Linked DNA regions of Saccharomyces cerevisiae S288C. Changing the gene in region 3 together with the main gene of any one other region gives a genetic interaction. Each region holds a gene or a part of one and is shown on either strand. Other genes may lie near its edges. The genes, in order: RME1, ALY1, YMR1 and INP53.

Region 1 (3,745 bases), on a different chromosome or scaffold from region 3:
GCGCTAATATCCTACTTAAGTGGTTGAATTCTTGTATGATTAAAAAAAAAAAAAAAAACACCTGTCTTATTTTCAATTTTATGGTACTGACTTTGAGGGTACGTGAATCATCGAAGGAAACATAATTGCACTGATATGTAAACTTCCTAGTTTCAAATGTTTTCTCGGAATACCAAATAACCTCTAGCCATAAGTTTATTTTCAAACTTTTTCCTCTTAGGTGATAAGGGAGATTAGAAAAAAAGAAATATTTATTATTGAAATAACTGTCCAAAGAAGCAAAGTGAATATAGAAGAAAAAATGCGAGTACTTACGATTTTTTATTTAGCTAAGTAACCAACGTGGTGCCATATTCACGACATAGCAAGTGTCCATAGTTGCATGCGTTTTCTTTAATATCATTGTGTTTTATTTTTATTACTTTAAGAAAAAATACAGTAGCTTTCATGCCTGCACAAATTTAACAAGAGTTTCATGGGGTACATTTTTAATGCCTCAACTATTTGGTATTGTTCAAAATTTTCTTCAAACGCTTGTTAAATCTTGAATCAGCGTTGTTATGCACCATGGCCACATGTCTCTTATAGGCGTCTTTGCGCCTAAACGTTTTCTGACAGATAGGAAATGGGCAATTCAGTCCTGGATATTTTTCTACTTTTAGATTTAATGATTTCTCCATCTCTATATCAAGCTCTCCTATATGTTGGGAAGCACAATGTCTTCTCAGACCAGTTGCTTGTTGGAAACCCAATATTTTCCAGGGACATTGCTCTATGGGACACTTACACGGTCTTTCAAGGTTGAATTCGTCTAAGTGCGCGGCAAACTCAACTAACGTTGCGAACTTTTCAGAACAATGAGAACAGTGGTAACTTCCTCTTTTTGTTTGCCCTTCGGAAATTGTGCTGAGTACTTTGGGGTCGTGATATAGCTGTGCCACGTGCGATTTTTGGGGATAGCCTAGAATACACTGTGAATGGGATTGTTCTGTTGTATTGCTCTCAATAAATACAGGATTTGCTCCTTTTTGACGTCCATAATTAATAAGATCTCTGAACTCCGGATCAACTAATGACGTGATACAGTGTGTACTGTCCGCTATTTCATCCGGCCGTAATTGAGGTGCTGTACCTTCCTCAGTAGACGACGTAGAGTCATAAGCCTGTCTCTGATTTCCGGCTATAACTGTGATTGTGTTTTCTAATGATAGTAGTAAACAGTCCTCAGTGCTGGAAGGCAGGCTGGAAGGCAGGCTGGAATCCCCCTCTAAGGGTGATGCCGAATATTCTTTCATGTTTTGCCCGAAATCGTGCCAATGATAAATCGGTTGCACCTCTTGTAAAACCTCTCTGTTCCAAGACCCCTTGGCGATGGCACTGTTTTGTCCATAACACGGTGACATAAGTGCTGAAAATCCCAACTTCTAGTAAAGAATTAACAAATTCAACTGTATGACTTATAGGATAAGAACAATGTCAGTTCCAATGCGTTGACACAGTAGAAAATATATTTACTAAGAAGCAGCTTCGTCGTTGGTATAGTTTCGGTTGATCTAGATATAAATATAACTACAAATAAATGGCAGGAAAAATTGAAGCAAATGACACAGGACATATCTATCACATTGCTCCCTTTAATTTCCTCGAAGGCACTCTGGCCTTTGTTCTCTGCATAAGAAAAAGCCAGCAGAAAATACGGTGATATATTTAATACATGCCCGGCCACTTTTCTGCTGGTAAAGCCCACCGGAAAAGTTCGGATTTTCTTATCCAGTATACGCCGACCTTTTGATGTAATCTGTGACATCTCACTCCGGCGGCCATTTTACGTGACGAAGCATCCCTTACAACAGAAAGAAGAAAAAAGATATGCCGCTTTGCGGTTTCTTTCTGGCAATGTATGCACTCATAATGCTACTCGTTTACCCACTATCCCTGTCCAAACTAAAGAGGGAGGAAAGCACTTTTTGCATTTACACATCGTAGATTATAAAATGATCGTTAACAGGCGCTTGTGATTTTGAATTTAAGAAATGTGGACTAGAGAAGTCTTAAATCGCCAATGCTGTACCAGACTCTCTATAGCATCTAAACACGAAATTCAACTGTTATCTTAGTTTTTCACTTACCAGTAGCGCGCTTGTTATTCCCACGTTATTATTTGCCCCCACATCATAGGTCAAGTGACCTTCTCTTACCCGACATGAATAAAGAAAAGAAAAGAAATCATACCCTTCAGCCTGTTTAGCCATAAATAGTAAAGAGTAGATGTTTCGACGGACTAAATAATGTGAAAAAGGTTCTAAAACCTTCAAAACAATTAAACTTGAGAAACGTTGCTATAGGATTGAGCTAATAATTTGAATTAATAGGAGCTGCTTTTTACTTTGATATATCCTGAAGTTATGTTACGAGTTTCTGAAAATGGTCTACGGTTTCTGCTGAAATGCCATTCAACGAACGTAAGCATGTTTAATAGGCTTCTGAGTACTCAAATAAAGGAGGGGAGAAGTTCCATAGATGATGCTGGCATTATCCCCGATGGAACTATTAACGAAAGGCCGAATCACTACATCGAGGGAATTACTAAAGGCAGTGATCTGGACCTCTTGGAAAAAGGTATAAGAAAAACTGACGAAATGACTTCCAATTTTACAAATTATATGTACAAGTTTCACAGATTGCCCCCCAACTATGGAAGTAACCAGCTCATTACTATCGATAAGGAACTTCAAAAGGAACTGGATGGGGTAATGTCATCCTTCAAAGCTCCGTGCCGGTTTGTATTTGGTTACGGCTCAGGAGTTTTCGAACAAGCGGGATATTCCAAAAGTCATAGCAAACCTCAAATCGATATAATCTTGGGCGTCACATATCCATCACATTTTCACTCTATTAATATGAGGCAGAATCCGCAACATTATTCAAGTTTGAAATACTTCGGTTCCGAGTTCGTGTCTAAATTTCAACAGATCGGCGCAGGCGTATATTTTAATCCATTTGCAAATATAAATGGACACGACGTAAAATATGGGGTGGTTTCTATGGAAACACTTTTAAAGGACATAGCTACTTGGAATACATTCTATTTAGCAGGACGACTACAAAAGCCTGTAAAAATATTGAAGAATGATTTGAGAGTGCAATATTGGAACCAATTAAACTTAAAAGCTGCAGCTACTTTGGCCAAACATTACACCTTAGAGAAAAATAACAATAAGTTTGACGAATTCCAATTTTACAAGGAGATCACTGCCTTAAGTTATGCAGGTGATATTAGATACAAACTGGGTGGAGAAAATCCCGACAAAGTTAACAACATTGTTACCAAAAACTTTGAAAGATTTCAAGAGTATTACAAGCCGATTTACAAAGAAGTGGTCCTAAATGATTCATTTTATCTTCCAAAAGGGTTCACATTAAAGAATACTCAGAGACTTTTGCTCAGCCGTATTAGTAAATCAAGTGCATTACAAACTATTAAAGGTGTTTTCACAGCTGGAATCACAAAGTCAATTAAGTATGCTTGGGCCAAAAAACTAAAATCGATGAGGAGAAGCTAGTGTATCCAATGTTATCTACACATTATCTTTTATCAAAAATGTTTTATCGTCCTTTCATCTCTTTCGAAGAATCGCTCTATTCACATTCCAAATCTCTGGCGTCGGTCAATATTTATTCATCTTTATTTTTACCTTCTTCTAGATAATATACATTATCCCATATTGGCATTCAAACTGACTTA
Region 2 (8,872 bases), on a different chromosome or scaffold from region 3:
TGCTAACAACGTACTTCTCGCGCCTGCCATTCCGTTCCTTTTCTACTTTTTCCCACTTTCTCAAATTACGTTGTTGCTTCTTCAACGCAAGAGCTCTTTCTCTTGCGCTGCCCCATAAACCCACCTCCTGATTCATGTCAAAATCGCTGGCATTATCAATAATTTTTGTTCTTTCTGCCGAAGTGTCTTGGAAATATAAAAGTCTATCTAATCGTTCTTGTGCTGCTAACAACTCCGGGTTTTCCTCAGCTTTATGGTCATGCTCGCTCGCTTGTCTTTCCTTTGCTTCGCTCTCTTCTTTTTCCTCCTGCAATTTCAACACTTCATTACGCTTTCTTTCTCTTTCTCTTTTCCTTTCGATGAAATCAAATAATTTGTCCTGTTCAGCAAATAAATTTTTACCCATACCGGAAGTTATTTTGTAGGTTTTAGTCTTCTTCTTTGGGACATTAGCTCCATTTGACGCATTGGATAAGGACGATGATGAACCGTTTAGTTCGTTTTTTTCCTGATTTAAAATTTCTACCATTTGGGTTCTTTCGTTATCAGAAATCAACTGTTCATGGCAATGACCGCATTTACCTTTATTCAATCCCTCTATAACACAAACCACTTTACCACAGTGAAGACAGTTTGGCGCGATGTCGAAAACTGGATGCCTTGTACCTTGACAATTACAATTTTTAGAAGAACCGCTATCTCGAAGCTCTAGCATCTTGATTGCTTCGTCTATTTCTTGTAACGATTGTAATTTCCCCTTTGATCTGTGCTCTTTTTTCTCCTTTATGGGGTTTGATTGCGTAGATTGATTTGATGGTTGAACGGTAGGCCTCGTTGTCGAGCTTTTCTTCTCATCCTTTAATTTTTTTGGTTTTTCATCTCCCTTCTTATTGATATAGTTATTAGTGGGCTGTTTTGATTCATTTTTCCATGAAGTGGGGGCAGTATGTTCAAGATGCACATTTTTCGTTTTTTTTTCCTCTTTTTTATCATTCTGATTCAATAATTCATTGAACTTCATTACAAATTCAAACGATAGATCTTCATGACCTAGGAACTCCAAAAATTTTGAAGCAATTTGTTCTGGATCATCAGATGATGTACTCAGTACTTGTTCGCACAGCGCTTTTACATCAGACTCTTCCAAAGGCAATATTTGCGGAACTTGTTTGATTGCATAGTCAATAGCCTGCTTTCTTGTCATTATTAATTACTGCAAACCCAAGGTTAAATAATTAAGCCACTGTTTCTCGGACTACGTTCACTTTGCCATTATTTGCTGCTGCCAGGCTCTTTATGCCTCTTTCTTGCTGTATAATATTTCAATATTTGTCCGATACCCGGCAAGCGAAGATCATAAAGAATATCGAAATGAACCTCATAACTGAAAGCAATCATCATAAATTTGTGCTTTGAAGAAGCAATATAACTGGTCGAGTTACGTCAAGTTCTGCCTAGCAATGTTATAGCATTTGAACACATTATGGCGATCAAGAAAAGAAATAAAATTAGGTTACCAAGTGGTTCTCCTGAGGAGGTTGGAATTGATGGTTCTGCGCATAAGCCAATGCAGCAAATTAAGCCCCTAGTGTCGAACGATTCTGAAGATGATGACAACGACATTTGTGTATTACAACCAATAAAGTTTAAAAAAGTTCCTAAGCGCGACATTACCTTTGATGGCGAACAAGCAATAAAGGAGGATAATTCGCATTATGAAGATCTTTACCATTCAAAGAAAAATACCAATGCATCGACGCGAAACAAAGATGATTTGCTAATTCTCAATATGGAGGACTTGATGGAGGGGAATCATCATCTATTAAGTGATTCTTCAGAGGCTGGCAGTAGCTCCGAAGGTGAGCACATTAGTAGTATACCAACCCGAGGAGAAATTGCAAAACTGAAAGCACAGAAGTCATTATCTAGAAGGAAAATTAGTGAGAGTGATGTTACAACAGAAAGAGATTATGTAAAATTGTTGGACAGTGAGGATAAACGCGAAATTATGGAGACAATAAGATTAAATGGTGGTCTGAAACGTAACAATGAAAAGGAGATTACGAACTTCAGTGACGATGAAATGCAAGGCTTTCAAGACGAAATGCTAGCCCTCACGGATAATCAAATTGCTATTCAAAAGGATTCTAAAAGAAAGATTATAGAGAAGGCCATAAATGAAGTGCCCTACAGAACTAATGAAGAATGGGAAACCCAGCTTTTAAGCAAAGGAAATATAAACAAATCGAATGAGAAAATCATCACGCCCTTACCGGTACTTTTCCCAGACGATGATGAAAGTGGGAACAGCATTGAGAGAATAAACGAGATGGTTTCGAAGATCTGCTTGCAAAGGAAGAAGGTTGAGATGAGGTTGCAAGCGTTAGAAAAAACAAAAATTGACTTGGAAAAATCTAAAGCAAGCCTAATAAATAAGCTCATTGGTAACTGAACGTTAATCATGTTATTTTTTTAATCGCTGTACTATTAAAAAGGGATATCTTTACGACAAGTGATATGGATGTATAGATTGATGGTGTATATTTGTATACTATAAAATGTCCAATATATTGTACACTATTGAATCACAGGACACAAAGTAAAATGGTAGCAATTCTGTCGGAGAATGAAAATAATGTACTTATTTTCTCTTTTCGCGAAATGCTTTCTTAAAGTCGTCCAGTACACGGTTTTCACTAGCAACGTTAACCGAGTAGGCTGCTGGGTCAACATGGTTCTTGCTTACCTCCCAATCAAATTTGGAATCTGATGACATTCTTGGATCATAAAATGCTGTAATATCGACTGAAGAATCCACTGTATCTTCTGGATTATCAACTCTGTTATTACTATTGCTGTTTGATTGTATGACGTTATCATTAATTTTAAGTATTGGTAGTTTCTTATTGAAATTTAATGATTGGCTTTTGGGAAAGGCATCTTCGTCACTACTGCCTAGCATCTGGTTTATGTCATTGAAATGCTGATTGTTCTGTCTTATTGTACTAGGTAACACTGATGTTGCGTGTAGACTGGCACGATTTTTTTTTCTCCCATCAAGACTCATGTTTAAAGACTGCAAAATAGGAGTGTGTGAATTAACGTTCTCACTCGGAGCACTGGTTGACAGCTTGAAGTTGAAACCAGATGCTATATCGCCATCATTGTCATCTTCGTCGGATAAGTCATCAATTTGAGACCAACCATTGAATGAGTCCTCCTCAATGCTGGCCAATGTCTCTCTAGATTTGTTTAGTTTTAGTTCAGGAATTTTAGATGAACTTGTATCGTAGTATGGCAATTCAATCCCATCGGCCTTTAATACATCAAAATATGATGGAGGATCCACAGGAATAGCATGAGAATCGGCTGCGCCGCGCTTAGCTAGATCAAAATCAAAATCTGGAGGCGGGGAGTTTGATAATGGTTGGTAATTGAGAATTGGTGAGGTGATGGGCGATAATGGTAACGCCTGAGGAGAAGTTAATTCTCTTGGAATCTGATTGGGCTTATAAATGTTTGCGACCAGCTGTTTGGATGCGAAGACATTGCTACTTTGATCATTCTTCTTGGAGGTATTATCTGACTTGCTTTTCTTTACGCTTTCAGCTCTATTACGCACTACTGGAAGATCAGACGGTATTCTAATGTTCATCTTCTGCACGTTAGGTGAAAGAACGGGAGACGAAAGAACTTCTTTTGGGAAGAAAATATTGGAATCATGATGACTTGCGTAATTTTGTTGATCTGCTGCTGGTGCGAAATTACCATCTTCATCACAATACTGGAAATGACTCTCGTAGCTCGGTAGCAAAGTATTCGCGTGTGAGCATAGTTGATTTAAAATATGGATTGGAGAATCAATACTTATTTCGAAATGTTTTCTATTGTCCCCGTACTTCTTGGAAAGACGAAGGCAAATTTTTATCCAATGGTGGGCTTTGATTTTATCATAATTTGTATCAGGGTGTAACCGTATACTGTTTGTAAACTTGCTTGGGACAAACACCTCGAACTGAAAATCTTTGTTAACTAGATCGCCGGATTTTTCATCCAAGAGGATGTTCCCTCTATTTTTAGCCTTCAAAGGATTCGAACCAGCTGGTATATGAGGCAGTTTAGGACCGTTATGTTCAGCCAACAGAAACTTTTTAGTTGGCTCTAATCTACGAGCCTTCTCGTGATTTCCATTACTATTACAAGTGTATTCCATAGACTCTGTTAGATAAATTCTAATACGATGCAGAGTAACTTTATCTAGAGGAGCGAAATGGAAATCGATGGGTAAAAATGCATTCAAAACGATCTCTTTCGAGAAAATTACCACGTCATAATGAAGAAGATCTTTCCAGTCCTTGGAAATTGCAATAGCTTCAGTCTCTTCTACGGATCCATCAGAAGGAAGCCTTACGACTTTGATGGGTAATTGAGTATGTATAGTTGATTTGAATGCGCCAAACCTCTCTATGTCTATTGACAGTTTATACTCCACGGAACCAAAATTGGCTTTTATACTTTCTGGATAAGATTGCGATATTGGCTGTTCAAAAGTGTAAATATAATCGCCCGGTCGAAAAATAAAAACTTCTTTAGAATCTTTGGATGGTGTAAGATAGTTATCCTCTTGCTCAGGACTTGGAGTAGCGCCACTATTACTGAATGTTTTTGTAAACAAATCAGATATGAAGGTATGAGGTGACAAAGAGTTACCGTGAAAATTTGCCGGTACCGATCCTCTTCGACTAGATGATGGTAATGGTGTCTTTTGAATAGCCAACAGTTTACTGTCGTCATGGGAAACATCACTTGATACTGGCTTGTTACTCAAATTATCGGATGACAATGAGTTGCGCTCATAGGCATCCAGACTTAGATTGCTATTATCTTTAGGGGGTTCAGCGGTTGGTGGGATATATACTGAAGCACCGCTTTTTTCAAGTAGATAATCTTCATCGCTCATAGATGGGCGATTGGACGAATTATTTGAGCTGTGATGTTCTAAGGTGAAAGAATTCATGCCGTCATCCGCCTGATAAAATGGCCATGTGTGATTGACAACAGTTTCAACATCTGAAAATTCTTCTCTCTTCGGTGGTATACCTTCCGGCCACTCTGTTCTGGATATTCCTTTGAAGGTTATCGATATACTTTTTAATTTATTCGGTTTCAACACCCTGACGATAAGAGATCCTCGTAAGATACTGGGGGCTATTTCAGACAGTCCGTTAGTTTCAAATCCTTTTAAAAACACTATGGGTTCGGCAAGCTTTACAAAGACTTGTAGTGTTGTTGTCTGCACCAGTGGGACGGCATCAGGTGCTGCATTTATATCTTGCTCCATGGGAAACACTGGAGCTACAGTATCATTTTCTGTATTGAATTGGAGCATGTAGTCATAGAGGAACAAGCAATATTCTATGGGATTCCAGCGTATTTGTGCGGAATGGAACTTTCTGTTGGTTGTCTTTCTTGTTGCTTGTCTCTTATTTCAACGAGTTGTTCCCATTTTTGATAAGATGGGGATAGCGAAATAAGACAAAAGAGTCAATATTTGGCAATTCGCTCAAAGAGGTAAAAAGACGGCGCTATTATATATCTGCGTATATATACTACAAACAGCCGGGAATACATTTGGCAAAGTCCTCGTACGACAATAGGGCAATTGCTAGTAGTGTTAAGCAGTTTTTCAGGTGAACTTGCAAACCGAAAAAGAGGAAAAATTGGTTCACATAGTAAAATGCACTCTCTCGAAGGAAGTGTTCGGTGAAAGCCACGATATGCCGCTGGAAATTACAGTTCCTTGATTAAAGATTCTACTGTTTGCTTCAACTTGTTAATTTGGTCTTCATTGGCGTTTGTAATTTCTTTGAGAAGGTCGTTGACTTTTATTAGGTCATAATAGTTTTCGTAAATGGTATTCTTGATAGAATTGTTAGTCTCGGTTTCTTTGCCCAAGAGCTTATTGTGAATTTGTACTAGCCTCTTAAAGGGCAGGTTCTTTATCTCTTCTTCTGCATCTTCTGACCCCTCCTTGAGATCCTCTTCAGTTGCACTCAATTCGTCATCTTTCACTGGTTTCTCAGTGTTTGCTTCGGTATCTATATTCACATCTGTGACTTGCTCCTCCCCAGAATGAGCCTCGCTGGCTTTTTCCCCTATACGTGCTTCTTGACGACCTTTATTCGGTTCATTTTCCAAGTTGTAGAATTCTCTTAAGAGCAATCTTCTATCTTTGTTCAGACTGCTCACCCTCAGGGACTTTTTGTGACTAATTTGTTCTGCCATCTGTACTTAATATCCTCGTCAGATTCCGTCTCACCGCAAATACGCCTCTTCTATGCAGAGCCTCACCTATACGTACAACTTACTGCCTCTTGTTTCCACGCAGCGAAAATTCGATGATTTCTCGTATAAAGCATATCGAAGTTGAATCATCACAAAAAGGCCCATTGTGTAATGGACCCTTGCCACAACAACACTCTCGTTGCACAGGTAGAACATACTTTTAAGGCCTGGGTAGATTCATTTTTTTGACATAGGAAAAGATTAGCAGAGGAGTATGAGACTTTCGTTTGGTAAACAGCGTTATCATGGCGGTACAACAGTAACTTTGACTGAACAAGGAGCTTCAGATTCCCTTCGCGCTGCGCAAGCTATCTTCCAGAACCATTCCAATGAGGTCAGCAGTCCATGCCCTCCAGTAACGGTGAGCAGGAATCCTCAAACTAGGTTATCAGAGCCATCGCTACAAAAGTCAGGGCGGAAACAAGAACAAAAGAAGGCACGCATACGAACAAAACAGGTACCTAAGATTAAAACAACGGCGCCTAATGATGTTGAGTTGTCTAAGAAACACAGGTCAAGCCCTGCAGGTAAAGATAATGTTAGTAGTACTGCTCAAATGGCAGCTGCTTTAGCGCATTCACAATCGAAACTTAGTTCTGACAATAACTCCTCCCATTCTTCGGCATTGGATACACTAAAAGTTCTAGAAACTCCGAACTTGAATGGCTTGCTGGGCATTCATTCACGCTCAAGCTCAAGAAACGGCTCCAATGAATCACTGACGCCTGGCCAAAGAACTCCCGACAATAGATCTCAAGAGAATTTACTTACTTCCTTTAGTAGCGGTAGAAGGCTATCCTCGAGCTCTATGGAGCCTGCAACTAATAAAGACAGCAACAAAGCTCTGCCCAAACGCAGGCCGTCTCCTCCCTTGCAATCATCACTTGTCGGCAGTGGTCAGCTTCATGAAAATGAAAACCTATCATCAATTAGCATCGATTCCAGACATAGTCTCAATCCGGACACTTCAGACGTTATTTCTAATAGGTCACAAACAAGTCTATCTCAAACAATTAATCAACTCTCGTTATGTGAATCAGAGCCATCTATTGCAAGCTCAAACACTACTACTACAACGAGCAACCAGGGAAGTGGTTTGCCCAACTTGGTTCCGAACTATTCATCCGATATGAGGAAGAAGAAGCTTGTTAACAAGTTCAAAAGGAAAGTATTTGGTAGTAAGCCCAAGCACTTATCTTCACAATATGAAATGGATGCAAGCAGCGAAGAACTGGGACAACATGAACAACAACCGAGTATGAGATTTAAAACAACATTACGTAAAACCTCTGTAAGTACAAACGCAGAAAATGATCATGCATCCTCTCTACATGAGGGAAATCTGAGGTATAAGTACAATCCGTCCAACGACACGTATGATGTGTATGACGATACTGATTCTGATTCTGAATCTGATCAGAACCAGGACGCCTTGACCAAGCCACGCAAAAGAGATAGAATTAAGAGAAAGATCAGGAATTCTGCCAATAAAACTGCACATCATAGGCCTATCCACCGCACGAGAGATCGGAAATTCAATGAGGATAAACCCTGGAAATCACATACAGATATAACTTTCGTAACAGACAACGAAAGGAAGCGTTACGAAAGCATGTGGGTAAGCAACAGACACCGTCATTTGAACCTGTTGAGCTGGTGGCCCTCTATAACGGGTGATTCCGGAGCAATTAATACTTTACCCGAAGATGGATTGATATTGGGTATCATAGTCCGTGATATCTGGAAGCGGTCTAACTTGCCCAATAGTCTATTGGCAGAAATTTACACGAAGGTAGACACAAGAAAAGATGGTACTTTAGATAGGAAATCTTTTATTGTGGGTATGTGGCTGGTCGATCAGTGCCTGTATGGCAGAAAACTTCCCAATGTTGTCGAGCAATGCGTTTGGGATAGCGTAGATAGATATGCTTCCACCACGGTTGTGCCAGTGAGTACGCTAAAGGCGATGGCCAAACAAAAGAGAAAACAGATGAAAGAAGAAATCAAGAATATCAAGAAGGAAAACCGTGTAGTTCTTGTAGACCACAATAGCTCGTCGTGACGAGTGTGACTCGCACCACTTCGTAGGTAGACATATACAGAAGTATATATATATAATGCGTAATTCCCCCACTTGTTACTGTTAAGCTAATCGAATTGTCATCTCAGAAATCTTGTTCGAGATAAGGCCAATCTTACTAAAAAAATGTCTATTAGTCTTCTCTGTTATTATTATTCCCGGCTTTTTGCTTTCTTTCCTTTTTTCCAAGGAAGGGGGCAAATTCGATCAACTAAAAAAGAGGCATCGTTTATTCGGATGCCACCACTGAGACGATCCACAGGCTAATTGTGACTAGTGGATCACAGAACAACCAAAATGTTTAAAGTGTTTGGTTTTGGTGCGAAGGAAGAGATTCCTGAGCTTTCACAGGAAGAAAAAACTAAAGCCATTCTAAAACAAGCTCATGATTTCGAACAGGCACTGCGTGCGATGGACTATGTCTTAGATGATAATGCTGACGAGGGT
Region 3 (8,183 bases):
ACTGAAGAATATATGGTACCTTGTTGCGGCCGCCACGTTCAGTGTTTGTAATGAGCCACAGGAAATACCTAAATTATACCACTATGCCATGCTACTGAGTAATGATAATGCACACATGTATAGATTCACATTAGCTTCCCAAACCATTGACTTACTGCGCTCAGAATTACCAATGAGAAAAACTTTGATCAATGAGAATTACCAACAACCTACTTTTTTCCAAAAGCAATTGACAGCAAAATTTAGAGAAGTTATTCTTAAAACAGGACCTCTGGCCGGCCTTCCAAGAGCGATCAATGGCCTGACTATGCTAAAGGAAACTACTCCGGACATTTTAGTACCGCACTTAGACCCAATAGACCCGTGGGAGGCTGCCATGGGAAACAGTTCTCCCCTTTCGGAAACCTCTATGAGAAGGAAGCATGACAAGACAATCCAGGAAAGAGATCATACCATACAGAACGGCTTACGGCATTGGAATTCAATATACAACAAAGTCTCAACCCGCGTGGTAAACAATCTAAACTCTTCGTACCCAGACTTATGGTATTATACACTGGTCCATGTATATGGCCCTTTGTTTGCCTTTGATGAGATACTATCTGCGCAAGAGACAAGTTTAGTGATAATTGCTTCTTTGGTTCCACAAGATGTTAATCCTCAATTGCGTGGGCATTTGAAAGGTGCCTTGAATATTGGTTGTGATAAGGAAACTGTGGAGGCAGTGAGAGGATTGGCTATACTAATATCTCAGTGGTGTGGTGTTAGTTGGAAATCTGGTGTTGTAAAATTGTAAGCCCCTTTGCCGATCGGCCACTCGTTATGCTCATAATATATGTACCCTTATTCATTAAAATTAATATATATATATGTATACTAACAACGGAGAAATGCTTGAACTTTTCTATACTTCTATCATTGTATGCAAAATACTAACTCACTTATTTGTCTTCTTTGCCGTTAACCAGATCACTTTCTATTAAACATATCAAATCCAAAAATTGACAAATTTAAACCCTTACCGCCATCGGAATTACTATGCTCTTTACTCTTTTTATCCACCGATATGGGTACTGAGTCTCGTTTATGGCGTAATTCATCATTCATTTCTGAATCTTTTCTTCCATATAACTGCCACCACCATTGGACTTTCTTCAGATCCGGCGAAATCCACTCCACTTTTTCTTCCTCTTCAAGGTTTTGATCGTGCTCATTCATGCCGCTTCTTTTTCTCTGTATGAAATTTGGATTTATGAACTGCTTTCTTCTAGATCTGAAGTAGTCCCAGACACTTTTAGTCTTGTTTGGCAAATTCTGTTGAAATTTCTCCTTCTCGCTATTGGAAAGGAATGTTCCATATTGGCATGAATACAAGTGGTAAACTAGTCTTCTTAAAAATCTTTCGTTGAATTCAAATAGATCTGGGTTTTGCGTCAAAAGTTGGTATACACAGTCTAAAAATTGTTGGAAAACTGGGGAGACGAACTTTAGACTTTTCTTGTTCAATTTAAAGTTTTCGTTAAATTTTTTGGAAATTCTACTCAAATTAATTAAATTCGTCTCATCTTCACCTCCTTCATCATCTTCAGCATAATCGTCTTGAGTGTTAACACCTATGTCAAGATCATCGCCATTGGTATCCACATCGTTGAAGTTGGAATGCATAGTGTTATCATGAAATCTAATATCAGAGTTTAAATGACCACTTCTTTCCAAAAACCGGTGACCAAAAGAGCACCAATCTTTTTCCACTAGGATCATAAAACCTTCAAAAGTTCTATAGAAAGGATCCAAACAAATTTCTAATAGTGATACAACTTGACTGGTTCTGTCCCAACCGTCAGAACAATGAACCAAAACGTTGGAATGATTGAAAATGATGGACTTTAAAAGCATATCAACGGATTTTAAAATAAGAGTGTTCAACTTCAACCAATTGGAAAATTTTTGACTCCTAATTAAATTCTGTTCCAGTGGTAAATTCAAATCGCCACCTTGGCAGATAACTTCCGTCATGTATGCAGCTGTGTTGGAAACAATATGAATGTTATCTATACCAAGAAATAACCGTGTAACTGTGGGCAGTTTTAGACTTTTATCGACACCCATATTGTTATCAGCTAAAAAAAAATTATAATTATCCATATTTTCTGTCCCGCCACCCAACGCCATCTGTGCTAATGCATTTGTTCTGGGTCTGGCATCTACTATTACATGTTTCGTTCTTCTAATATCTTTATTACAAAATGAGTTGAAGCTTTCCCAAACTAATTTTTCATCTTGAATGGACCTCTGATTGATCAACCCCGGTAATGGTTGAGATGACCTAAGAATGTTGCAATCTGTTGCCTTGTGATGATAAGTTAAAACAGGAATTCTTTTCTGTGATCTAAACTTCGAAGCATGCTTCAATAATATATCTGACGTGGATCTTGGTACAAAAAGTTTTGAGGGATACGTTGGACAAAATTCATAGTGTTCGTTTACCGTGGATAGCCTCCAAGGACATGTTTCATCTTTACTGTCGAGGCCCTGCCTTCGAAATTCCTTAATTGGGTCATATATATCCCAGCTATCGGGTGAAGGTAGTTTCCTTTCCAGATTGTTGGATATGTAAATAAATGCATATAGTTGCGTGATATTGGACAGGACCGTCAAATTTAAGATGGAATCATACACCTTTCTTGCCTGTAGATGTAAATCACCACCGAAATCCAATGAGAATACCGCATAATCTTTCCCAATTACCTTGATATTTACAAAAGACCATAGATCCTTACCCTGGTAAAGCTTGTAATTCTGTGAATCCGTTCCCTCCAATTGGATTTGATTAGTGGAAGTCAACTTGGACAGTAATGTACTACCCGGGTTTTTATGCACTCCATAGATCAAAGGATATGGAAACCAAAATTCCGTCGACAATTGTGGTGACTCAAAGATCAAATGGTGAGTAGTCAAATGTAAAGTACCTTGTGTGGCCGTACCTCTTCTATGCAGCACTACATTAGATACTTTGGCAATCTTGATGTACTCCATCTTTGCGGAATGGTATACTATTTCTTTTCCCTCTTTTTAGCACTATTACACCCCGCCCACAAAATAAAAATAATAACGACGACCTAATCTCACCAAGTGACCCTTGTAAAACCTCCTTTTCTTTATAATGTTTCTTTTCTTACTAATATTTGGTACATTTAGGGTAGTGATAAAAGAATGGCAACATTGTTATTATTGTGAAAAATGAGGAAAATAGAAAATCAGAAACCCTAAAAAGTGATTTTACCCTATCAGAAATATTCAAATGTCCTAATTAAAAATAGTAAATCCCCTAAACATTCAGATTGTAAACTAGGGTTGAGAAAATGACTCATCCACCACTGTCTTCTTTCCTGCGGCATTCTATAGATTATTGTGAATGACTCTTATTGATGAGATGGCAATAACTTTTGAATATCAGAGATAGGAACCTCCATGTCGTAACGATTGTGTCACCTTGAGTAAGCATCGAGAAAATCCAATCTTTTTTTTTCCGTCATAAGCATTTCTGCCATGCTATTTGTATATATATAATTACTAATACGTCTTCTATAGTATGCCTTATCTCTTTTTTGAAGCGCTATTTAAGTTTAAGCATCGAAAAACTAACATCTATAGTTAAAATTAGTTCTATAAAGGAAGAGCAATACAGTACATAGACAGGAAGAAAAGAATGACATCGATTTATACATCAACAGAGCCTACGAATTCTGCTTTTACTACCGAGGACTACAAACCTCAATTAGTTGAAGGAGTAAATTCTGTACTTGTCATTGGATCAGGAGGGCTCTCTATTGGTCAAGCTGGTGAATTCGATTACAGTGGTTCTCAAGCTATCAAAGCTCTGAAGGAAGATAACAAGTTTACTATATTGGTTAACCCAAATATCGCTACTAACCAGACTTCTCATTCCCTGGCGGACAAGATTTATTACTTGCCCGTTACACCAGAATACATCACATATATCATTGAACTTGAAAGGCCGGATGCTATACTTTTAACCTTCGGTGGTCAAACAGGTCTAAATTGTGGGGTGGCTCTGGATGAATCTGGTGTTTTGGCTAAATACAACGTCAAAGTTTTAGGTACTCCTATCAAAACTTTGATCACTTCTGAAGATAGGGATCTTTTCGCATCTGCGTTAAAGGATATCAACATTCCCATCGCAGAATCATTTGCTTGTGAAACCGTGGATGAAGCTTTGGAGGCTGCTGAAAGGGTCAAATACCCAGTTATTGTCAGATCTGCATACGCTTTGGGTGGGTTAGGCTCAGGTTTCGCTAACAATGCAAGTGAAATGAAGGAACTTGCCGCACAGTCCTTGTCGTTGGCCCCACAAATTCTTGTTGAAAAATCTTTGAAAGGTTGGAAAGAAGTTGAATATGAAGTGGTCAGAGATAGGGTTGGTAACTGTATTACAGTATGTAATATGGAAAATTTCGACCCACTTGGTGTTCATACTGGTGATTCTATGGTTTTTGCTCCTTCGCAGACCCTATCAGATGAAGAGTTTCATATGTTAAGATCCGCCGCAATTAAAATCATTAGACACCTTGGTGTTATTGGTGAATGTAATGTCCAATACGCTTTGCAACCTGATGGGCTAGACTATAGAGTTATTGAAGTGAACGCACGTTTATCTCGTTCCTCTGCATTGGCGTCTAAGGCCACTGGTTATCCCTTAGCATACACTGCCGCCAAAATTGGGCTAGGCTATACTTTGCCAGAATTGCCAAACCCAATCACAAAAACTACAGTGGCTAACTTTGAGCCATCTTTGGATTATATTGTGGCAAAAATACCTAAGTGGGATCTTTCTAAGTTCCAATACGTGGACAGATCCATTGGTTCCTCTATGAAATCAGTTGGAGAAGTTATGGCTATTGGTAGAAACTATGAAGAAGCCTTTCAAAAAGCATTAAGACAGGTGGATCCATCATTATTGGGATTCCAAGGTTCTACTGAATTCGGCGATCAACTTGATGAAGCCTTGAGAACTCCAACTGATAGAAGAGTCCTTGCCATTGGTCAGGCCTTAATCCATGAAAACTATACTGTTGAGAGAGTTAATGAATTGAGTAAAATTGATAAATGGTTTCTTTACAAGTGCATGAACATTGTTAATATCTATAAAGAGCTTGAATCAGTTAAATCTTTAAGTGACTTGAGTAAAGATCTCTTGCAGAGAGCCAAGAAATTAGGGTTTTCAGATAAGCAGATTGCGGTTACTATAAATAAACACGCCTCCACAAACATTAACGAACTGGAAATCAGAAGTTTAAGAAAAACGTTAGGTATAATCCCTTTTGTCAAGAGAATCGATACTTTGGCCGCAGAATTTCCAGCACAAACCAATTATTTGTATACCACTTACAATGCTACAAAGAACGATGTGGAGTTCAACGAAAATGGTATGCTGGTTTTAGGCTCTGGTGTCTATCGTATTGGTTCATCTGTAGAATTTGATTGGTGTGCCGTGAACACCGCGAAGACATTAAGAGATCAAGGCAAGAAAACTATCATGATAAATTATAACCCAGAAACAGTTTCCACAGATTTCGATGAAGTTGATAGATTATACTTTGAAGAATTATCGTATGAAAGAGTGATGGACATTTATGAGTTGGAGCAATCTGAGGGTTGCATTATTTCTGTCGGTGGTCAATTACCTCAAAACATTGCCTTGAAACTTTACGATAACGGCTGTAATATAATGGGTACCAATCCAAACGATATTGATAGAGCTGAGAACAGACACAAATTCTCATCTATTTTGGATTCTATTGATGTTGACCAACCTGAATGGAGTGAATTAACATCAGTAGAAGAAGCAAAATTATTTGCTTCTAAAGTTAACTACCCTGTGTTGATTCGTCCCTCATATGTTCTTTCCGGTGCGGCAATGAGTGTTGTTAATAATGAGGAGGAACTGAAGGCTAAATTAACTTTGGCATCTGACGTTTCTCCAGACCACCCAGTCGTCATGTCTAAATTTATTGAAGGTGCTCAAGAAATTGATGTGGACGCCGTTGCTTATAATGGTAATGTCTTGGTACATGCCATTTCCGAGCATGTTGAAAATGCGGGTGTGCACTCCGGTGATGCTTCTTTAGTCTTACCGCCACAACATCTTTCTGACGATGTGAAGATTGCCCTAAAAGACATTGCTGATAAGGTCGCAAAAGCTTGGAAGATCACTGGCCCCTTCAATATGCAAATCATCAAGGATGGGGAGCATACATTGAAAGTGATTGAATGTAACATTAGAGCTTCTAGATCATTTCCATTCGTTTCAAAAGTTTTAGGCGTTAATTTTATTGAAATTGCTGTCAAGGCATTTTTGGGCGGTGACATTGTACCAAAACCTGTTGATTTGATGCTCAACAAAAAGTACGACTATGTTGCTACTAAAGTTCCTCAATTTTCCTTTACAAGGTTGGCTGGTGCAGATCCTTTCTTAGGGGTTGAAATGGCATCAACTGGTGAAGTTGCTTCATTTGGTAGAGATTTAATTGAAAGCTATTGGACTGCTATTCAAAGTACCATGAACTTCCATGTACCACTACCTCCAAGTGGTATATTATTTGGAGGTGATACATCTCGAGAATACTTGGGCCAAGTGGCTTCCATAGTGGCCACTATTGGTTACAGAATATACACAACTAATGAGACCACTAAAACGTATCTACAGGAACACATCAAAGAAAAGAACGCAAAGGTTTCTTTGATTAAATTTCCAAAGAATGATAAGAGAAAATTGCGTGAACTATTTCAAGAATATGACATAAAAGCTGTTTTCAATTTAGCCTCCAAGAGAGCTGAGAGCACTGACGATGTTGACTATATTATGAGAAGGAATGCTATTGATTTTGCTATCCCATTGTTCAATGAACCTCAAACGGCTTTGTTATTTGCAAAGTGTTTGAAGGCAAAAATTGCAGAAAAGATCAAAATTTTGGAATCTCATGACGTTATAGTTCCACCAGAAGTCCGTTCCTGGGATGAATTTATTGGTTTCAAAGCATATTGATTGTGCAAAAGAAAAACCTGCCTCTAATTGTATTACTGTATATTATATAATGGATTTTTTTAGAGATATTTTTAATTTCAAAGAGACTTCTTAGTGTATATTCTACCCCAGTATTATTATCTTGAACAAAAGTAGATCGCAAAACTTATCACTAAAATTCAAATGTATTTTCGAAGTGAGTAACGCATGGGCCGTGGAAAATAATTCATCAATCAATACCTCAGGCAAGTGTATTTACTATGCCTTTATATCTTCCGTATAATAATAGAGCGTTGATTAATTGAGATGTGCAACAATGTGACCAGTACACGTAGATTATAGCATTTTTCACCGATCAAGCTTAAGCTTAATGAATATGCAGTAGGGGGCCTTCATAAAAAAAGCTGTCCTTCTGGTTGTTGGCCATTACTTGGACTTCTTTCTTTCTGAAATGTTCTGCTAGGTGGAGCAACATGGGTAGATGATGTATAGAGAACGTTTACGCTACGGAGAGAATCCGCACTAAAATTCGTAGTGACAGATGCTATATACGCGCTTGCTAAGGGATAACCCATCAAGCCGGTCTGCTACGTTAGTGGCATGAGGCATATCATCTTCGTCTTCATCAATAGAGTTTGAGTTAATCCAAGCGGTTGCATTCTCGAGTGTTGTTAATAATCTAGTGTCAACCAATTTCTCTGTAGTAGCTTCTATGACAGAGATATTAAGTGTGTAATCACTTGTGCCCCAACATGTTGAGTAGTGGATATACGTATTGGATTCGGTAGAATTTAGCCATGCAGCGCTCAAAAAATTCCACGTGAGGAATATTTCCCAAGGGATGAAAATTTTAAAGCTTCCATCTACGGTCAAGATAGAGTACCTCCAAGACATACGTGGAAACTAGTAGACATGTGTGATGATAGCTATGATGCTGTAGAAGAATACTATTTCAACAAAAGCGTAGCCGGGATTAGTGGCCAGGAGAACTGGAATAAGCAGTTAGCTACCCAAGTGTATTCAAGAAGTTTACAACCAGAAATATTACCAACCCTAAAACCTCTTTCATGTAACAAAGAGAGGGCCAATGCAGGAAAAAGAGTTTCAGAAGAAGAGCAGATAAATGGAAAACGTAAGA
Region 4 (9,177 bases), on a different chromosome or scaffold from region 3:
AAGGACAAAAGGTAATGGGCCAACTCTTTGGCTTGCTGGACTCCGTGTTCTGCTAAAGGAACATCGCTATCAATTCCTGTAAGTGGGTCAGGATATGGACCCTCCGGAAGCCAGTTGGATCTGTATCCATGCCTTGCGATATATATCGTGTTCACCACCATAAAATGTATTGAAAAGGAGTAATATGTTATTGAGGTAGAAAAATGAAGGTAATTAGGGGAAAGCCTACTGAGGATTTATGGATAGTAGAGATTCTCTTCCACCTTGCCCATAAGTATTCACCAATATTTAACGTATATATATTAATGTGTCCTATTTTTCAGCTTTAAACCCGGCGCGCCTTATTAACGCACTCCTTTTCTCTCACTGAATATTTATATAAATATTTATCTAAATAAAATCACATAAAACAACCTGGCCAGGTTAGCCCCCTTGTTTCTCTTCGTTCATTTAAAGGGATACAAACGGAACAACAACCACACTTCAAAGATAACATATTCTCATTTTGGGGTCAATGGCTGCCATGAGTCTAAAGTCATATGGTTTAGTTTGGCCTTTTCCTCTGGCTCAATTGGATTTTCATCACCTAGCAAAGCTTCGGGCTGCCCATTGACGTCTCTTGATGCTGCAAATGCTGTAGGTGTCTGTTGTCTTGCATCTTGGGCTGAACGTGTAGATTCACTCGCGCTATTATATAAATCAACCTTAGAAGACATAGGCGAAGCCAAGTTACTGGTACTTTTTGGAGTTAATATATTTTGACTAAAACCTGGTGGTGGAATTCGTCTATTTTGCGCCAATGGTTTATTTTCCTGTATATTTTTAGTCACAGATGACAACGATGCAGTTGAGGTCTGTGGTGTTGGTGATTTTTCCTTCGATGTTGAAGGAGCAGGTGCTGATACAGATTTATGAGCAGGTGGGGGTGGGGGGCGCAATACCGGTTTCTTTATGGGGGTACGCGACTGGCTACTGTTTTGAGTTCTGACAGGTTGTAGTGAAGCCGATGCTGAAGACACAGGTGACGAAGAAGCAACGCTGGACGCTGTCGGTTGTGCCATTATCGGATCAATATCAAGTAGAGAACTTTCAGAAGAGCTTTTGAATCCATCAGTGCTCTTATTATCCAGATCAAGGCTGAGAAGATCCGATATCAGAGAACCCGGTTCTTCGGGATGCTCTTGTTTGTATTCTGTGAATAAACGTTTCTTGAGAGATAGTCTCTCTTTATCATCAACAAAAGTTATTTTTGCTCTATATGCTGCGTAAACTGGCCGATGGTCGCTAATCATTATCGGAGCATCTGAATAAGATAAAGGAAGTAAGTTTTCCCCTTTATAAATAATTCTATCTGTCCATGACGGCGTCCTTTCCTTTTCAGAAGAATCATAAGTTCCTGTCCCGGGATCATACTTGTATGTTGGACGGAACTTGAGAGTTGGTTCTTTGAAGCCTTCAAATACACTGCCAGAATTAATACCTAGGGTAAGTTGATCAAAATGCAACAGTTTATCGATATATCCTTCTTCTTGGTTGAGCAACTCTCTTCTGACGTCTTCGTTCGGTAGATTTATTCTATAATTCATGTCACCTAACCAGAAAATCGAATCGTGATGAGGAATCATCTTAGTTCTAGTGAAAGTAATACCTCTAACTATGCTCTCGTAATCACTTCGACGTTCTTCGACATTCGTAGCTCCTGCTGCGAGATGAGAATTGACAAAACAAAATGAAGTGGCACCGTACTCAAATCTTATAGACACTGCACCTTTATTCCCAGCCATACCCCTAAAGCCAGTTTTTTTAGTAGCACCCTCCACTTGTTTGACGTATTTAGCTTTGTCTGCTTTAACAAAAAATAAAATTAGTAAAGAAGTCATTTGCTCTACTCTTAACAACAGATATTTATCATCATACTGGTTTAAGCAATCACCCACTAAGTTTTCCCAGAAAGAGCTTTTCGAGTAATCAGCGTTCAAAATCGAACCCGCAGATAGTTCTATAACTTCTTGAAGACCTAAAACAACAATATCGGGTTTAAATTTTTCACCGATTGGAAATAACCACTTTGATAAATCAACTTTTTTGGTTGCGCCATTAACATTGAATGATCCTATTAACAAGTTAATGTTGGAGGTTGATGTGAACTTATCAGACATGCTTTGTAATTTCGTACTTACGTATTCGTTTACGGGATCATAAAGTTGCACTGCTTTCTGATACGGTAACCTTCCCAACAAAGTATCGATATTTTGTTGCTTTTCTTTATCCATGAAATTGTTAATATATATTCTGCTGACCGATTTTGTGGCGTCTGATAATGCCCCAGCAAGTGACATTTTACCTTTTCTTGAAAATGAGGACTTCAAAGCATTAGTACCAGTATATATTTGGGAAATTTGATCACCGTGATCAGCCCACAGGGTGTTATGTTTAGAAACGAAATCATCATCGTCGATGAACGAATTTGAACTAATCAATCGGAAATCTTCGAGAAAAGTTCTAAAAGCAGCCAAAGAAATAATTTGCTGAGCTAAATTTGTTCTATCCAAACAATCTAAACAGTTGGTCCTAAATATGCCATGTTGTTCAGATATGTTCTTTTTTTCTCTAACATCGTAAGAATAATAGCCAGAAGATAAAAGAGAGTCCAATATTAATGGAATGAGTTTTCTGACACCGGAAAAGCCTTCTTGCGAAGTTTCTTTATGAAAATCGAATTCTGTCAAAAATATATCTTTGTTGAAGTTCAATTTTTTTGAATGAGTTAAATGCTCCTTGTATCGTTTTGAAAGTTCAATTTCAGAAGATTTCGTTGATAACAAATTAACGACATGCACAGGTCCGTACTTTTCCACTGATTTCATGATATGTTTGTCAAATACCGGTTGGGTGGCTTCAAATGATCTTGTAATTTGTACTCTTGGATTGATTAAAGAGGTACCTTGCTCCCAGAATACAGGTATACTGCCTCTAATCTGTGTAAAAGCATAACAGTATTGGCTAGAATACATAATGAATTCCGTTTCTACGAAATTGGCAACGTTTGCCTCATCATCCACACCACGTGCATTAAATCTTGTTCCTGCTCTTTTCCAGCTCTGTTTCGAGATGATAGTAAGAGCAACTTTCAACTTCTTAACGTACGAGACGAAAGTTTCCGCAAATCCACGGATAACTGTTGTTAAAAACCCCTCGTCATCCAAGATTTGTTTCAAATTTGTGTCCAAATGATCTCTGTATGTGATCATTTCTTGCATGAGAAAAGAGTTCCACATATATTCTTCTTCGTAGGTATCTGTACTCAAAGAATGCTGACCATATCCACGATGCTGTAAGGTTGAGGTCAAATCAAAATCTGAACTATAATAAAAAGATCCATTGGATAATAGTTTCTTCAATTCATAGCATGGATGTTTTGGCAAGGCGTCTTGATATTCAGTTGAAGCAGTCTCCGGCAACACAGGATAACCTGAGGAGTCGATTTCAATAAAATCCCAACTGTTGTCATTTAAACAAAAAAAATCGACAGCAAAAATTTTGTTCACAGTCTCTCCTGGGCATGGCTGTGCAACTTTTGATTTCCCAGTGATGGCACCAACAAACAGCAGGCCATTAACCTCAATGAGTCCGATAACACCAAAAATTTCGTGTGATGTAAGTCTTTTGAAGCCATATTTTTTCAAATCATTTTTTTGAAGAAGTTCAATGGCACAAAGGGGTTTATCAGATGGCTTTTTCCCAACCGGTTTAAGAACAAGAGCATACAAGTTGGATACAATGGCTAGCCTCCTTTCAGGTTCTTCTGAAACAAAGATAATCATTCTATGAAGGAGTGGATAACTAGATATTCTTCGCCCCAGTTATTTTCTTTCTTCCTCTTAAGGTACTGCTAGCTTTCTTAATATGATATTGGATATTGACTGTTCTCCCTTCACAAAGTCTCAAATTACACTACTCCTAGCTCACTCAACAGTTGCAGTAGTGCTCGAAAAATCCCTATTCGGATTCAGTTAAGATTATGCGGTGGGTGGGCCTGGGTAAAATGTTTCACGAAAGGAAATGGTACCATGGGAAAAAAAGCAAAAAAAAATAATAAAACTATAAACGAAAGAAACTTTCCACACAGACATCGAAGAAGTGTTTGGAAACTTCGCTGAAAGATGTCTTTTTAACGTGAAATAAGTTACTTTTCTGTGCCATTTATAAATAAAAATACATATATATATAACATGAGTAATCATAAGCTACTCCTTTCTATTACTCTGCCAGTAGAACATCCCCGGAATGAATAATATTATTGACAGTAGCAAATACCGCCTTAATAGATGCATCCCCAGTGTCTTCGGAGACACCAACACCCCACATATTACTAGTAGCATGATTATTGATGTCCTTTATGTAGGAAAGATTTATGAAAGATGCCGCTTGGGTTGCAGAACCAGAACCCAAGGAATGTTCAGAGTAGTTTTGAACGCTCAACTTAACATTCAGTAAATTGGATAGCGCATCCACCAAAGAAGAGATAGGACCATTTCCGTAGCCTTCGATGTTGACAACCTTATCGTTGATTTCTACCTGGCCCACTAAAGCTCTACGCTCTGGGTTCAATTTCTTAACTTCGTAATTCAACAAGGTGACGTATATATGTTCATTGTTGTTGTAGTTGTAAGTTTCTTTGAACAATTTTGTAATCTCTTCGGATTTTAACTCTCTTCCTAAGGCATCTGCATTTTTCTGTAGAGTATTGGAGAAATCAACTTGCATTGGTCTTGGTACATCTAATCCTAGAGATCTCATAATAACCCAAGCAGCACCACCCTTACCGGATTGAGAGTTGACTCTGATGACGGCTTCGTAATCACGTCCAATATCCTTTGGATCCAATGGTAAGTATGGAATTCTCCACCGAGTTTCTCCTTGAGCCTGTTTCTTGTTTTGGATTGCAAATCCCTTCTTAATTGCATCCTGATGAGAACCAGAAAAGGCAGAAACAACCAATTCACCGCCATATGGGGCTCTTGGGGGAATTGGAATCTTGTTACAGCGATGGACAATTTCAGAAATTGAAGTTAAATCTGAGAAATCTAAATTAGGAGAAACACCTTGGGTATACATATTCATGGCAACTGTAACCAAATCAACATTACCTGTACGTTCACCATTACCAAATAGACAACCTTCTACACGATCAGCGCCTGCAAGCATACCTAATTCTGTGGCGGCGACACCGCAACCACGGTCATTGTGACAATGCGTAGAAATACAGACCTTCTCACGCTCAGTAATGTGGGTAGAGAAGTACTCAATTTGATCAGCGTAAACATTTGGAGAGGCAACTTCTACAGTAGCTGGTAAGTTGAAAATGATCGGATTTTCCTCGGTAGGTTCCCAAGCCTTTTTAACAGCTTCACAAATTTCTACAGCAAATTCACCTGGCGTATCACTGAAACATTCGGGAGAAAACTCATAGGACCAACGAGTAGCTTGCTGGGAAGGGTCATCCTTGGTTAGTTTCCTAACCAGTTTGGTGGCTTCTACAGCTTTAGAAATAGCTTCCTCTCTAGACATATTGAAGACAATTTCTCGGAACATGTCACTTGTGGCCAAGTAAGTATGTATGGTAGCCCTTTTAGCACCAGTCAATGCTTCCACGGTTCTTTTAATCAAGTGTTCTCTAGATTGGACAAGACATTGAATACCAACATCATCTGGAGCGTTTTCTACAGCATACCTGGTGAAGTCGAAATCTGTTTGAGATGCAGAGGGGAAAGACACTTCGATTTCTTTGAAACCGATGTTGATCAACTTGTGGAAATATTCTTTCTTTTGAGCCACAGACATTGGGTCCGGTAAAGATTGATTACCGTCCCTCAAGTCAGTAGACAGCCAACGTGGAGCCTTTTGAATAGTTTTGTCAGGCCAAATCCTCTTGACCATTTTTGGTGGAGCAAACGCCCTATATTTTACCGATGGGTCCCGTAGCATATTTTTATAAGTCAGTTTGACGGGTGGGATAGACCTTCTTAGTTTACTAGCATGCTCAGCTAGCGCTATGAACGAATGTTTTACCATGGCTACGCGGCTAAATGATAATGTGCCGATAGTATTATCCTAAGGAGAAGACCCTTATAAGCCGAAAACAAGGATTGTGATTTCGTGGAGTAAAGTAAGGCATTATTGAAATTTAACAGCTAACTTCCAATCAAGCCAGTAAGAGGCAAAACTATGTTGTAGTTGTGATTCTGGACATCGTTTTTAATTTTTTTTTTTTTTTTTTTTTTTTTTTTCATTTTTTGGCAAGGCCGAAAGAGATGGAAAAATATGAGTCATTCACTACGACCGTTACCGGACCATGATGGCGCGCGGCACCAAAATAGACGAATGAAGTATATAACAAGCGCCATGCAGAAGGAAGAGCTAACATTAATTACTATACAGATAAATGTTTAGTGTTTGAATATGACAACATATAAAAGAAGACTGTGCCCAATGCTCTTATTTTAAATGCCTGTGAAATAATTATATGCAGTGTCATGTACGTAAAATTAAATAAAAACTAAAGTTACAAACAATATGAGCGTGATGAAATGAAGTAAATTGTGTGAAATGAATTAATATGAAACGAGGGAACTAGCCAGAAAAGCGGATTTTCTATCGTTGTTCTACTTAATCAAAGTTCTAATCTTGATTAACTGATATCATGCAAATTTAGCTTTTTAAAGCCGTTTTCAACGCTTTTTTCATTTTTACCGATCGCTTTATTGGGTAATGGCGATGAGGATGAAGATATTTGTGTCTCCACAGATGATGAAGAGGCTATCTTTGTTGATGACTGTTTTGTCCTTTCAAACGGTTTTGAACATTGCTGTTATAATGGCTACAAATGACGCCTGAAGGCTGTTTGAAAGATTTCCGTTTTTTAACAAAGTTAAGTTTTTGCAATAAACCTTTCCCCGAGTTGAGAATTCCTGTATTTTGCGGTTTTTGCAGATTTCTAGTGCTGGTATTCTTGTAGGTCGAGCTGGTAGTGTTGAGTGAGGAAGAGGACTCGCTTGGCCGAGAAGTGCGATCGCTGCATTGCGACTCATTGGTCGTGTTTGCAGACGTTTCTTGAATGATAGTTGACAAACCATTGATATCAGGCTTCTTAAGATACGAATTTCTATCTTCAGAAATATCCTCCACGCCTAATGACGAAAAAGAAGTTGTAGACTCGTTTTTGAGATCTTGTTCCGTAGCAGAGTCATTGTGGGCATATGTGGCGGAGTACTTTTTCTCATTAACAGAACTCACAAATCGGTGATACCCGTCCATTAATAGGCCCATCACATGGCTAATGGCACACAGGACGTCTACGTCGGCAGGTACTTCATTGTTAGCAAAGCACTTCTCAAATATCTCCCTAGTATCCTGTGAAAAGTTGCATTCTTTGGGGGAGTCCACGGCAATGTATTTTATGTACAACGACTTGTTCCAAACTTCCAAGAGCTTCTCCTCGCTAATACTCCTGTTTTGCTTAAGCTGGAGGAACTGATGAGCTTTTTCGAAAAATTCTAAATTTTCCTCACAATGAGCTCTTTTTAGAAATTTGTAAAACTTTTGTATTGTGTAAGGAGAACGCATCCGTTCGTGATGCCCTTTTCGCAGTTGAATCAGCACTGTATTGCTACTTTCAGCATCGCCGTCGCTGCGACTATTCTTTTCTAGCGGTATCAGTATGTCGCATAGACTTGGTACACTCGCCATCTGGCATGTGCTGAATTTTCTTCGTTTTATGTATCAAAGGTGCCTTACCTAAGATGTTTTGATATTTATATAGCCAATGTAATATTTTTTTTTTCTTCTCTTTCCTTGCCTCGTCGCTTGAGTTGTTTGCTTTTAGTGATCACCGTTGACTTTGTAAAAATCCGTTTAGTCAATTTTGGCAACTGGTTCAAGCAATGTGCAACGGAAATGGTATAGATGTGATGTGGTATAATATGTTATTAATTTGATTACTAGCGCCTTAACTATCTTTATTCAGCAAGTTTTTTTTTCATCTCCACAAAGGGACGTTTACAAAGGGTATCCCGAAAGAGATACTACATGACGACGTCATATATACGTATATCTCAAGAAAAGAATTGTTAATGATTATGTTTTTTTTTTCTTCTTTCAATTTCCTTTTTCTGATTGTGCTAAAATGAGCGCCGAGCCGCTTCGATCGGGGTACCTGCGCACTTTTCTAGCGGTTCGGTTCGGCAGTTCTTCCCGAAGCATTTAACGCAACCTTGTTCCTCATTCTCCAGCAGGTCTGTGCTTGGTGCGCGACTTTAGCTGCAACGGCGTGGGTGTGCCGCAGCGGACATTTCTTAGTTAGATGTCATCTCGGCTGGACCGGGACGCCACAGTAAGATTTCAAACTGCTGAAAATTTTCGCCAGCAGAATAGCCGCTACTATCAGGCCGTAGCGACAGGATCGTGCCCGCAATAACGTACACATCGAGGTAATTATGCATGATTTCTTTTTTTGCCGAGAAATTCTGCCATTTTTATTAATCCACGCTCTGTCCTTATCTTAGTGACAGGCAAGGATGTTCTGCAAAAGCGAAAATTGAAATAAGATAAATACTTCCGAGCCAGACACGTTCTTATGTTTATCAGGGCCCACAAGGTTCATTTAGAAGACAACGCATACAATGTTTTGTTTCTTGATAACGGTTGGCGGCCGTTAAGCAACAGTAAGGCAAATGACAGTTAACGGAAAATAACAGGGTTCTTACTTTTTACATACAGTAGCACAATCCTTTTTTTATTGGCAGTCGCTAGTAGAAATTCGTGGGGATTTACGGACTACTGAAAAAAGGTCAGTGTAGATCGTACAAAGTAGAAAAAGGAAAAAGGGCATATCGAGCCCTTGCATTTAAACTACGGAGTACAAAAAACACAGGTTGCGCACATGGGAAGTGCACTATCACTAGACATCAAAGGAAATTTTGAGTCAAAAAGAGCGGCTAAGAAACCCCCCTACCACAAAAGAATAAATGCAAAAAATAACTTATACACTCTTATACACTCTTGTTTTCGTAAATAGATAAGATTGGGTCTACCAGAAAGTCTGTGCTCAATGCGCGTTTAAGGAGATTACTAACTTAATACAGCAAGCAATACCACCATGCACACAACTATTATAAT

The links.
Region 1: of YMR1 (region 3) and RME1, extra expression of one rescues a mutant of the other (dosage rescue), as found in Saccharomyces cerevisiae (one study listed by BioGRID).
Region 2: of YMR1 (region 3) and ALY1, changing one suppresses a phenotype caused by changing the other (phenotypic suppression), as found in Saccharomyces cerevisiae (one study listed by BioGRID).
Region 4: mutations in YMR1 (region 3) and INP53 together harm fitness more than expected from each alone (negative genetic interaction), as found in Saccharomyces cerevisiae (4 studies listed by BioGRID, with this or other methods).

What each region holds. Positions count from the first base shown.
Region 1 is NC_001139.9:582,490-586,234, forward strand, and holds RME1 (Rme1p), read right to left. Parts: upstream 1,404-3,745; coding exon 501-1,403; downstream 1-500. Other genes in the region: YGR045C (uncharacterized protein), read right to left, coding at 1,445-1,807; TAM41 (putative phosphatidate cytidylyltransferase), read left to right, coding at 2,406-3,563. UniProt on the Saccharomyces cerevisiae protein: Involved in the control of meiosis. Represses the transcription of the IME1 gene thereby inhibiting cells from entering meiosis. But also activates the CLN2 gene thus promoting mitosis.
Region 2 is NC_001143.9:475,751-484,622, reverse strand, and holds ALY1 (Aly1p), read right to left. Parts: upstream 5,390-8,872; coding exon 2,642-5,389; downstream 1-2,641. Other genes in the region: RQT4 (Rqt4p), read right to left, coding at 1-1,204; NTR2 (Ntr2p), read left to right, coding at 1,484-2,452; VPS51 (Vps51p), read right to left, coding at 5,791-6,285; IRS4 (Irs4p), read left to right, coding at 6,560-8,407; YKR018C (uncharacterized protein), read left to right, coding at 8,723-8,872.
Region 3 is NC_001142.9:628,468-636,650, reverse strand, and holds YMR1 (phosphatidylinositol-3-phosphatase YMR1), read right to left. Parts: upstream 3,037-8,183; coding exon 970-3,036; downstream 1-969. Other genes in the region: PXP2 (Pxp2p), read left to right, coding at 1-796; carbamoyl-phosphate synthase (glutamine-hydrolyzing) CPA2, read left to right, coding at 3,710-7,066; ABM1 (Abm1p), read right to left, coding at 7,568-7,939; YJR107C-A (uncharacterized protein), read left to right, coding at 7,958-8,183. UniProt on the Saccharomyces cerevisiae protein: Lipid phosphatase which dephosphorylates phosphatidylinositol 3-monophosphate (PI3P). Involved in the control of PI3P-dependent signaling and in the maintenance of endosomal system integrity.
Region 4 is NC_001147.6:519,925-529,101, reverse strand, and holds INP53 (phosphatidylinositol-3-/phosphoinositide 5-phosphatase INP53), read right to left. Parts: upstream 3,825-9,177; coding exon 501-3,824; downstream 1-500. Other genes in the region: transcription factor TFIIIC subunit TFC7, read right to left, coding at 1-161; 2-isopropylmalate synthase LEU9, read right to left, coding at 4,261-6,075; GTPase-activating protein RGS2, read right to left, coding at 6,820-7,749; SNAP receptor VAM3, read right to left, coding at 9,130-9,177. UniProt on the Saccharomyces cerevisiae protein: Dephosphorylates a number of phosphatidylinositols (PIs) like phosphatidylinositol 4,5-bisphosphate (PtdIns(4,5)P2), but also phosphatidylinositol 3-phosphate (PtdIns(3)P), phosphatidylinositol 4-phosphate (PtdIns(4)P), and phosphatidylinositol 3,5-bisphosphate (PtdIns(3,5)P2).